Linked DNA regions of Ovis aries. The protein of the gene in region 2 interacts with the protein of the main gene of each other region in a pairwise test. Links are inferred from orthologs where the notes say so. Each region holds a gene or a part of one and is shown on either strand. Other genes may lie near its edges.

Region 1 (6,363 bases), on a different chromosome or scaffold from region 2:
ACTCCAGGATCCTTTCCTGGGGAACTCTATAGACAGAGGAGCCTGGCAGGCCACAGTCCATAGGGTCACAAAGAGTCAGACACGACTTAGCGACTAAATCACCAAGTGTTTAATTTATGTATGAATGAAGCCCAGAGCCTCATATCATGTGTGGCAGATATGATACGGCACCTACTTCCCCATTTCAGACAAGTGAGTGTGTCTTAGGCCACACAGCTAAAAAGCTCCATCTCCTGGCACAACGGTCTGTACGTTTTCTCCTGTCCTGTCATTCATGAAGGATGTGTTCTTCATGTCACATCCCAGCCACTGAACTTTCCTCTACGATAGCATTGTCTCAGCTAGGTTCTGCAGACTTTAGTTCTGTTAGGATATAAATTCTGCCAAAATTGGATTCAAGGAGGTGATAGTGGCTTAAACAAAATAAAACAGATTTTCCTTACTACAAGACTTCTCAGAACCTATATGCTCCCATGCATTTGTAACTCATATGCTTTATGAGAATACTCGATAATTTTGGGGTATATGTACATGTGTAGTGAGGGGGGCAATCTGCAGAAGCCACTTTCTAAAATACTTTGAACATGATCCCCAGAGTTGTCAATGAAGATTGTTTTTTAATAACATAGTTATTAAAACTACCTTTGAACATAAAGAGGATGATATGAGCAAACTTGAGTTTACAATTAAATTGTTGGATTATAGCTCTGTGGTACGGATTTTATGACTGTCAGAGCCTCTCTACTCAAACCAGCTCTTCGTGCCATTGTCATGGGAAGTCAGTGATGGTAGTCAGATCCACAGTGTCCTCATTTTCTCCTTTCCTGTGTCCCTGCACTTACCCATTCTGGACCATGTCTACCCAGAACAAGTAAAGATTGGCCCAGCATCTCTGTGTCTCTTAGGTGTGAGCACCACCAACTCAGTTTCAGTAACGTGGTAGCTGAAATTTTGCAAGGAGATGAAATATTTGCAACCTGCAGCAATAAGATCTTCTGGTGGAATGTGAGCACAGTGGAAGTGAAGATGAGAGTTATGTTGACAACTGAACTGGTTCCTCTTTTCAGGAGCCTTAAAAAAGAAATAGGGTTCATCTGTACTATTTTTCTAGATTCCACATATGTGTGTTAATACACGATATTTGTTTTTCTGTTTCTGTTTCACTCTGCAGGAATAGAAACAGACATAGAGACCAGATGTGCGGACAAGGGGGCATGGGGAAGGTGGGATGAGTTGGAGACTGGGATTGACATATGTATATGACCATGTGTAAAATAGATAGCTAGTGGGAACCTGCTGTGTAGCACAGGGAGCTCAGCTCAGTGCTCCGTGATGACCTAGAAGTGTGGGATGGGGAGTAAGGGAGGTCTAGGAGGAGGTAGAAACATGTACATGTAGCTGATTCTCTTCATTGTACAGCAGAGACCAACACAACATTATAAAGCAATTATACTACAATAAAAGAATTAAAATGGTTTCATTCTTTTCCATTACAGGAGAAAACACAGGACAGACACCCATGAATATCAACCCTCAGCAGACCCGTTTCCCTGATTTTCTTGACTGTCTTCCAGGAACAAACGTTGATCTGGGAACTTTGGAATCTGAAGATCTGATCCCCCTCTTCACTGATGTAGAATCTGCTCTGAACAAAAGCGAGCCTTTTCTAACCTGGCTGTAATTAATATCATTGTAGCTTGGATGCAGCCGTGACCTGACATTTCCTGGGCCTCTTGGAAAAAGCGATGGAGCAGAGCAAGGTGGCAGGTGAGCTACCTCCTGCCTCCATCACACATGCTCCCTCCTTTCCTTGTGGCCAGTTTAATAATTGCCTGGATTTGATTGGCAGTCACTGAAGTTAAACATGAATAAACATTCTATTTCTGTTTTCTGCAAGCCTGCATTCCTGTGATGGGTTGTGCAGCAGAATTGATTATGCAGAATTGCTTCTTTGTTTTCCTCTCTGCTGCCCCATGACCAAGCTTTATGGGTGTTAGCTGAAATTTATACATCAATTGATTATAAACCATGAAAAACTGATGACCACAGGCAGTGACTTTTGACAGGTGGCTCGGTCCAGGAAATGTACACAAAACTCGACCTGATTTACAGTTTCAAAAACTGTATTGATGACATTAGTACCAAATGCTTTAAAGAATATTTAACTTGAGCTTTAAAAATCATTGTACTGATAGTAAAATTCTGCTGTTTGGAATACAGTGTAGTTTTCAATTCATGCAGGTTCTGATGGCTCTTATTACCTGTATTCTCAAAGGCACACAGAGTCCTATTGTGTATCCTTCTTCATTTTACTGCACAGCATCTAGACAACTATCCTTCTAACAGGAGAGTGGCAATGGCATTCGTTACAGTTCCTACACCAAGATCTCATGAAAGAGAAAGAGACCAGTTTGGTACTAATTTTGAACATTTATTAAACAAACGGTTTTTAAATGACAAGTTGGATTTTTAAGAAAATTACAGCTTAGAATATGATGTCTATTTTATGAAGCACTATCATTTGGTGACTGATGACAAATTTCAGCCAAATGTTTTTGATAAATCAGTGGCAACTATATTTTTGTCCTTTGAAACTGTTCTGAAAACATCAGTACCACATAGCTTTCAACCTGATGGCATACAGTGAGCTGTTGCTTTTAAAATTCTGAAGCCTTGTTGGCTTTTCTTCTTTCAAGATTTCTAGGGTTTAAAATAATCTTATCTATGAAGCTGTTTGAAGGATGAAGCAGATCTCTGACTGATGGGTCAAAAAATGCCCCCTGAGGGTGTATGGTGGAGACCCTTAGTGTTTCTGAAGTCACTAAAGTTGATTCCTAGGTGTATTATCCTAATCCTGTTTGCTACAGTTGGTATAGAAAGGCATGAAATATGTACTCAGTACCTCTTATGTAACCAAAACCATTTTTTTTTGTTTGTTTTTTATTAGCTTTTAAGGACTGAGAGAGAGCATCGGGTTCGCCTGGCATGCACTCTGCCTGCATTGCCAATGAAGTCCTCAATTGTTTAATATTTTGAACTGACATTATTTATAATCTATGAATTTAATATCTTTTTTGAGAGACATTAATAATGCAGGTCTCTGAGAGGAACCTTTCCATTCCCAGAGGGGCTTATTTGCTGGGGATCTGAGATCCTTTTTGATCTACCAAAAGACAGACAGGCAGAATACATCTTATCTTGTTGGAATGAAGGCAAGTGTAAAGGTCAGAGATGAAGTAGTAACGTTAGGGAATACAGTGGAAAGGCTACTAGGTGTGAGATGGAAATAGACAAGCTATGGTGCCCCAAAAGCAAAAGGAGAAGGAGGTGTGAGGTGCCCCCAAAGAACAAAGCAATGATTTTCTCCTACAACTTTTGTACCAAAAGACTGTTGTAGAAGAAAAGAAGGCTTCGGTGCACTTTCTGTGGGAGAAGGAGGCACAGCGCTCGTGTTGCCCTGTCCACGCTGATGTTAAGTGAGTAGGCGGATGAGAGCTTAAACCTACTGTTGCTTCCAACACAAAGAAGTGACTTTTTTCCCCTGAAGGACCCATGGTTTCTCTTCCTCTGATTCTATCTCTTTTTCAAAACGTTCTGAGAGATGAGGGTAGATGTTTCTATTGCTACTATATTGAAGGGAGCACTATTTCTTTTTCTCTTCTGTTAGCAATAATTGCAAAAAGCATTGTACATTCTTTCTAAGAAAAAGCAAAAAAAAAAAAAAAAGACTCAAAAACAAGGGACCTAGTAAAACGGAGCAGTGTTACTGTATTTTTTAAAAATATTTTTATAGATTCATTTTCAGGTTATTAAACATTAAAGAAACAATTATCCCTCCTTTTTTTAAGTAGTTAAAACATTGATGATTTGTATTATCAATTTTTAGAAATAATTTCCTAGTAAGCTTGTGGCATTAGAAAACACTAGAAGAATTTTTTTTTAGTGAGATTAGTTGGAACATTTATTAATGAACATAACAATTATTTTTCCAGAATTAGACACAGATCCTGACTACATGTTTACTAATAAATGAAGCCAGATCTAATTTTTGTTGTTATTTTTAAGGCCATGTTATATGGCCTTTGTTAAAGAACACTAAAGCTAGAAATCTAGAAACAACTTTTTAAAGGTTCTTTCCTATTATTGTAAGTGTTAAAACCCCTGCAGAATTCATGATAAGGTGCTATTTATACTATATTTCTTATTATAAAATGACTGCCAAATATCGTGTCTTTTTAGTCCTAAGTCAATCAGTAGATTTCAACATTTCATCCAGGTTAAAAATGGAAAAATAATTTCAGAAATCTTTCTTTTAAGGTATTTTCTTTCCCTGATAAAACACATTTCCTTGAAGCCAATACATTGTCAAGACCTATTTGCAATTCTGTTAAATCTAAGTAATTATTAGTGTTTCACCATAGAATTTAGGATGTGATATGCCTTTCTTTCGCTGATTATACAATATAAGTAAAAACAGAGTAAAACAGTTAGTGTGCTGGGGGTGTTACTGACTCCAGCTTGGCAGAAAATCTCTCTGGAGAAGAAGGTGATCAGGAGTGAGAGAGTTTTACTAATGACAAGTGATGTTCTCATAACAGAAAGCAACTTCCAGAAGTGCAACTTTTATGACAAACAAAAGCTGTTAAAAGGAAATTGTAGATTAATTTAATTGGGAAAGTAGGTTATCAACAGAGACTGTTTCCCTAACACACTACATCATTTATGTGTTCGTATTTTAACTTTTAAAAAAATTATTTCTACATTTTGTAATATGATATATGTGTGTTTATTTTTAATTCAAATTGCTATGCATATAGAGAATATGCAGAAAAATCAATCAGATCAAACTATTTTACCCGGAGTTTGGTACTGGTTTTTACTTCTCTGATTCTGTATAAGAAAAATAAATACAATTGAATTTCCACTTGGAGTCTTTATCTTGTCATGATTTGTGTGTGTTCTTTTTACTGAGGGCTTTGGGTGGTACTGGAGGAAAGCTTATGTAACCTTCCTGGCAGACAATGAAGGAAAGAAAATTTTGTAGACAAACATTTTTTTGGCTCAAATGCCTGGTTTTCAATATTCTAAATATCCAGAGTTCTGGTTTCTACTTTATTTGAAGTAACTCACTGAGACTTTAAAAACTCTGTGTGTGTGTGTGTGTTTGTGTCCTTGTGCTAAGTCACTTCAGTTGTGTCTGACTTTTTGCAACCCCATGGACCGTATCCCACCAGGCTCCTCCGTCCATGGGATTCTCCAAGCAAGAATACTGGAGTAGGTTGCCATTTCCTCTTCCAGGGAATCTTCCTGACCCAGGAATTGAACCCAAGTCAGCCCTTCCAACAACCTTGCAGATCTGACTGAAGCATCAGGACTAAAGTATTTTTCTTTGTTTCTCTGTCATTAACAATATGCTGTGGCTTCTTGGGCTTCCCTGGTGGCACAGACAATAAAGAACGCAATGCAGGAAACCTGGTTCAGTCCCTGGGTTGGGAAGATGCCCTGGAGGAGGCCATAGCAACCCCCTCCAGTATTCTTGCTTGGAGAATCCCATGGACAGAGGAGTCTGGAGGGCTACAGAACATAGGGTCGCAAAGTGTCAGACATAACTGAGTGACTAAGCACAGTGTGACTTCTTGTCAAACCAAAAGCAGCTCATCATTCACTCTGTGACAGTGTATTTCCTCTGTCTTTTGAGCCCCCTGATTCTTGCTGTGGTGACACTTTATGATGTGAGGGCTCTTTTAGTAGCAGAGTGTTTTTAAGCAGAAGCACTCAGCTGAACAACAAAAGAAGAAATCCTGGGGGAAACAACTTAGCAACAGTCCAGAGTCTAAGCCTCATGGATCTTTTTTAAAACTGTATTTCATCATTACTTTTAAGTTAACAGAGGCTCTCTGTTGAAAGTGTTATAAGTACCAACACGTATAAAGTAAAAATATGAAAGTTCTCTATCTTTCAAGTCTCACACTTCAAAAAATATGTTTGTTAGATTTTTTCCCCCTATAAGCTGGATTTTTTTAACAAAAGAAGAGCAATTCTAATGATATTACTGATACATATTGAACATTTACTAAGTGACAGACACTCTGCAAAACATTTGATATGAATTATCTAATTTAATCTGCACATCAACACTATTATTTCAATACTGTCCTCATTTTACAGATGAAGAAACTGAGGCTTAGAGAGGTAAAATAATTTTTATAAGGGTACATAGTAAGCAAGAAATATATCCAAAAGCTCAAGATTGCTCTTCCATGCGAGTACATGTGTATTTTATTATATTTAACAATAAGTAATATCCTTTTGCATGGGTGTCCCCTCTTGGTAATCAGTTGGTTGTTTTCAGTTTTTGCCCTT
Region 2 (5,624 bases):
TCCCAGTGCCATCAGGAGGGTTCTATCCCTAAGGGGCGCACAGACTCCAGGAACCTCACAGCCCCAAAGGCACAGATCACGCACCTTCGAATGTTCACCAGGCAGCTGCCGTGCCCCAGACGTGGGGTTTGGGTTGTGGAAGGTGGCAGAGCAGGACCCCTCTGCCCTGCAGTGGCTCCCCTGCCCCTGATGCGGCGTCCAAGGGTAAGACAGACCCAGAAACAATGGCACTGTGCTGTGGGCCACAGCCGCCTGGTGGTGTTTCCCAGAAACCAGACTCGACAGTATTACTCCCTCACTTGAGACCCTTCCAGGACCTCCCAGCATACAGAGGAAAATCCAAGCTCTTCCTGACCTTGGGGGCCAGGACCTGGGCCACATCTGGACCTGCAGCTCCCTCTCTCAGCTCCTGACACGGCCTCCCCACTGTCCCCACGCACACGCCACCCTCCCCAGGTCCCAGGGCCTCTCTCGTCTCCTGGTGGTCCCCCGTCAGTCTACCCACCCTTTACCCACTCGGTTTGTCTTCCCTCCTTAGTAAGACATAAGCTTCCCAGAGACCCCATCTGTCTCAGCCGTCTGTACATCCCTGTGTCTGGTACGAACCAGAAGTTAAATAAACATGTGTTAAGCTGGTGAATACATGCATTCAGATTCCAGAAGACTCCAAGCAAGTTAGCTGGCCTCTCTGGACGCCCCTCCCTCATCTTTAAAATGGGGAGAGCACAGCACCCCCGGCTGAGAATGGAAGAGATGTCTCAGCCCCAGTGCGCAGGGACGGGTGACAGGTGCCCTGATGGGTTGTGAGTGGAATGCCTTTCCCCCGCCAGGCAGGAGCCAGCATCCCTTCTGCAGGAGTGGCTCCATGCTGGGAGTGTCACTCCATGCAAGAATGAGTGACAGTTCTCCAGGGGCCTGCTGGCCAGGGGACATGAGGTGCCAAGACTAGAGGCAGAGAGTGGCTAGGAGGGGATGTGTGTGAGATGATGGCGCAGGAGAAGCGGGCCGGGTGGGACCTCCCATTTGTTGGCCCCGAGGGTCACGGTCTGCACTGCGCCTCAGGGAGAGGCGCCTAGACCTATGTTCCCGGTGGTGGAACGGTCTGGACTTTCCAGCTCTAAGTAGGTGACTGTCCATTAGGCTGCTGAGACCAGGCCCTAAAGAGAAGGGAACACTCGAAGCCAGCTCTGGCCCCAACATCTACATGGACTCCCTAGACCCAGGACACAAAACGATGGACGCAGTTTGTGCATCTGTCCCAGGGCCCAAGGCTACTCATACACCAGTGTTTGTCCGAAGGTTCAGTCCTGTGCGGGCACAGAGGTCACGGGCTCCCTTTATCCTGACAGCTCCGGGAACACGGGTGGGGAGGTGGGAGGGCAAAGGCCATGACAGTGACCAGGGGTGGGCAGGAAAGCCTCCCCAGACCCAAACCACACAAAGACGGTAGACAATTCTCAGAGACTCAGGGACCCCTCGCACCCAGGCCCCAGCACCCAGGAGGGAGATACGACTTGGCCCGGGGTCTAGCAGCTGTCCAGAAGGAAGCTGGAGGGCTGGTCCTCCTGCCCTGTCCAGAGCTGCCAGCAGACTGCCCCTTCAGGCTGTTCATCTAGGCAATGCCTCTCTTTCAAGAAGCAGCCCCTCTCAATTTCCGCCTCTTCCCTGAACCTTCCAAGCCCCACCCCCTCCCACCTCTGAATTCCAGTTGCTCTGAGGACCACCCCACCCCCACTTAAGAGTCTCCCAAGCTGACTCCTCAGACTGCAAGAGTCAGTGCTATTAATAATAATGCATACTCACAGCACGCGCTCGTGTGCTTGGCACCACGCTAGGCACTCTACATATACGAGGTAGGTACTATTGTTATACCCATTGTACAGATGGGGAAACTGAGGCACAGTGAAATTAGGTAACTTCCCCAAGGCCACACAGTCCAAAGCTGAGCACCAGGATTCCAATCCTAGCCACTGACTCTGGAGCCCTGGCTCCTAACCACACAACACCTCCTCAACACCATCTTATTCACTTCATATCCCCACACATGTCCCTGAGATCAGCACACAAAACTCCTGCACGTGACTCTTAGTCTCCTTGGGTTCCAGGCTCCGGGAAGTGTGGGTCCCTATTAGGCAAGATGATAGCAAACAGCCACTAGATGGCAGCAAAGAGCCGGTTCCCAGTATCCCAAGGGCCAGGAGGGGTAAGAGGACGGTAACTTTTTCTCTCTTTAGTGCACCTTGCGTCAGGCACTATACAGACATGTCCTCCTCACTAAGGCCGTCCCCCTCTACAGGCAGGAAAGGACACACGCTGAGACAGGGCAGGCAGCGGGGAGCCCTAGGACTGAGGCCAGTTGCCAGGAGGAACAGACCAGGGAAATTCCCTCAGCTGAGGGGTCCCCCCAGGCCCAGGGTGGGCTCCACTCCCCTCTCCTCCATCCCCAGGGTGCATAGAACCTTCCGTCCGGGGAGGGGGTGGTCAGCGCGGCTGCCTCGAGGTGGTCACCACCCAGCAGGCTTCTTGGCTGGGAGGCGTTTGCTGTGAGATGGCAAGGCATACCAACTGCATGGTCTCAAAGACCACCAGAACAGCGCGGACCTCAGACCAACGTTCCTGGCCTTCACCACCGAAGAGGACACCGAGGAACCCCAGAGCCCCCACCCACACTCAGAAGCTGGCCCCAGCACTCCTACCCTCTCTGTCTTGGGCCCCCCCTGACCTGGAACCCACCCCCCAGACAGCTGGCAGGGCCAGAGAGTTCACGCCCACTGGAGCTAAAGAGCTCTGATTGCCCCTGTCTAACCTCCACACCTGAAACCCACCCCCGAGCTGGGCCGGCCTCCCCGTCGGCTGTTCAGAGGGAGCGGCAGCAGAGGCGGTGGGGAAAGTGAGGCAGACACATCACTCCCGGTGGCCGAGGTGCCCGCACAGGACACACAGGTGGGGGACCCGTGCCTGTCCCCAGGCCTCCCACTGTGGCCGGAGCCGGGGGCAAGGCCTCCAGGGCAGCTCGGGGACATGCCATCTTGAGCGTCGGCAGCTGGCAACCGTCCTGGCCGAGTCCACGGAGCCCTGGCTTCACAGCCACGCCCGGGGTGGCATCCGGCCCCTTTTCCCTCAGCCCTCCCGGGGCTCGCGCAGCCAGACGGGGCCTCTGAAGACGCACAGAGCTGGGGTTTATTGGGCTTGGGCAATTGCAGGTTCAGGCAGAATTTGCTCCTGGGTAGAAGAGTCACCACCTCAACTCTCGGTGCTTCGGGGGCTGCCCCATGGGGCCCCTCCCCTCGTCCCTGCACACGTGATGTCACCCCCTCCCTGTCCCTGGTCTCTACTCCTTCACCAGCCGGTAGATGTGGTGCTGAGCCCCGTGCTCGCTCGCTGACACCTCGAAGACGTACGCGACGCACAGCAGGGTCTCCTGGGTGTCTCTGTTGGTGACCACCTGTGGGGTGTGGGAGACAGTGTGCTGTCCGCTCCGCCCACCACCCACCCCCCCACACACACACACCTACCTTCCCACACCTGCACACAGCACACACCTGTCCCCCCACACCTGCACACACCACACACCTGTCGCCACACACCTGCACACACCACACACCTGTCACCCCACACCTGCACACACCACACACCTGTCCCTACACACACATCTGCCTTCCCACACCTGCACATACCACACACCTGTCCCCACACACACACCTGCCTTCCCACACCTGCACACACCACACACCTGTCCCCCCACACACACCCGTGCCTTCCCACATTGGCACACACGCACACACCTGTCCCCCCACACCTGCATATACCACCCACCTTCCCCCCACACCTGCCTTCACACCTGCACACACACACACATCGCACACCTGTCCCCACACACACACACCTGCCTTCCCACACCTGCACACACACACATCTGTTTCCCCACACTTGTCTTCACACCTGTCCCCCCCAGACACCTGCCTTTCCACCTGCTCCCACACACACACCTGTTCCCCCACACCTGCACACACCACCCACCTTCCCCTCACACCTGCCTTCACACCTGCACACTCCACCCACCTCCCCCCCACACCTGACTTCACACCAGCACACACCACCCACCTTCCCCCCACACCTGCCTTCCCACACCTGCACACTCACCTGTCCCCCCCACACACATCTGCCTTCCCACATCTGCACACATGCACGCCTGTCCCCCACACACACACCTGCCTTCCCACATCTGCACACACGCACGCCTGTCCCCCCACACCTGCAGGATGGTGAAGTTCTCCAGCACACTGTTCATCATGTGCTTCTCGGGCAGGTGCCTCAGCTTGTGGATGAAGTTGACCATGTACTCGCAGAGCGGGGAGCGGTGGATGCGGTAGGAGTAGTGGCCGTTCTCGTAGCGCGCGCACTCGGTCTGCAGGGCCGGGGACGCGCGGCTTAGGAGGCCGCCGCCCACCGCCAGCCCGGCGGTTCCCAGACACCACCCGCAGGTGGGAGAGGTCTGGGGTTAAACACTGTGGGGGACTCAGTGCCAGGGTGTTGGCCCCCCAAGACCTGATGTACAGCCGGTGAGAACCACCAGGATGGGGGTGCCTGGCCTCCCACCACTCCCCGGCTCGTGCTGGGCGTGAGGCAGGCTGTCAGTGGTAAGGACGAGGTGAGGGTGAGACTGCCCTAATTCAGACAAATCTAGGGGAAGAGGCGAGAAGCCCAAGCTGGGGGCGGTGTGTGTGTGCGCGTGAGGGGCCAGAGCCCAGGTGGGCAGCATGGCCTACCTCTACTTTCTCCACCACCTGCTTGCCGAAGGAGCACACCTTGGTGGAGCAGGTGATGACCATGTTCTCGGGGCTCTCGTACTGGCTGGACACCCCGTAGAAGGAGCCGCCCTCGTCCTCCATGTCAGTGTTGAGGTCTGCCTGGAGGGAGACAAGGGCGAGGGCCGGGTAGTGACTCAGAGGGGTCTTGGTGGAGGTCACGGCCCAGGCCCCAGGGCCAGGACACGACTGAGGGGGCGGTGCTCAGAAAGAACATGGATGAGGAACCTCAGAAAGCCGCCCCGCCCATTCACACGCAGGCCTGGGGTAAAGTCAGGCTGTGCGACAGAAACAGTGTCAAGAGCCTGGCCCCTGCTGCCCACCAGGTACCAACTGCCCAGCAGACAGGACCTCACACTGGCCTTCAGCACAACGAGACCCTGCCGGTGCCTTTCAGCAATGGCTCTGGGGGGTCAGCCCCTTGCCATCTCTGTGGCCCTGTGAGCCCAGCCACCCTAGACTTGCATCTCAGTTCTGCCTCCAGATCAGTCTCCCCAACACCGGTCCCCTTCCACTCGGCCCCTCCTCTAACTGCTCTGAGAGGTATTGGCACCCTCGTGCAGAACCCCTTTAAAATGGGAACAGCACCGGGTTGGCAGGGCCTGGCCTTGCCCCTTCTGAAAACCCCGGAGGCAGGAACCAAGCTCTCCCAGGGCTCGGCCAGGCGCAGGGTGTGTGCCTTCAACAGTGTGGCACGTGACTGTCTGAGCCTGCCCCCTCACGCTGGCTCTGGGCAAGGAGTGGTCCTATAGTCACAAGGGGGACACCTAAGCTTCCTGCACCTGCCAGTCCTCAGAACCGCAGCCCCACCCCAGC

The links. The genes of interacting proteins can lie anywhere in the genome.
Region 1: the proteins of TEAD4 (region 2) and WWTR1 interact in binary tests that used the Homo sapiens proteins (3 or more experiments, as listed by UniProt). The two-hybrid records come from large-scale screens. The link is inferred for Ovis aries from reciprocal best matches to the Homo sapiens genes TEAD4 and WWTR1.

What each region holds. Positions count from the first base shown.
Region 1 is NC_056054.1:239,357,711-239,364,073, forward strand, and holds the end of WWTR1 (WW domain-containing transcription regulator protein 1), read left to right. Parts: intron 1-1,496; coding exon 1,497-1,681; 3' UTR 1,682-4,924; downstream 4,925-6,363. UniProt on the Homo sapiens protein: Transcriptional coactivator which acts as a downstream regulatory target in the Hippo signaling pathway that plays a pivotal role in organ size control and tumor suppression by restricting proliferation and promoting apoptosis.
Region 2 is NC_056056.1:212,612,586-212,618,209, forward strand, and holds part of TEAD4 (transcriptional enhancer factor TEF-3), read right to left. Parts: intron 4,911-5,624; coding exon 4,770-4,910; intron 4,409-4,769; coding exon 4,256-4,408; intron 3,446-4,255; coding exon 3,332-3,445; 3' UTR 1-3,331. UniProt on the Homo sapiens protein: Transcription factor which plays a key role in the Hippo signaling pathway, a pathway involved in organ size control and tumor suppression by restricting proliferation and promoting apoptosis.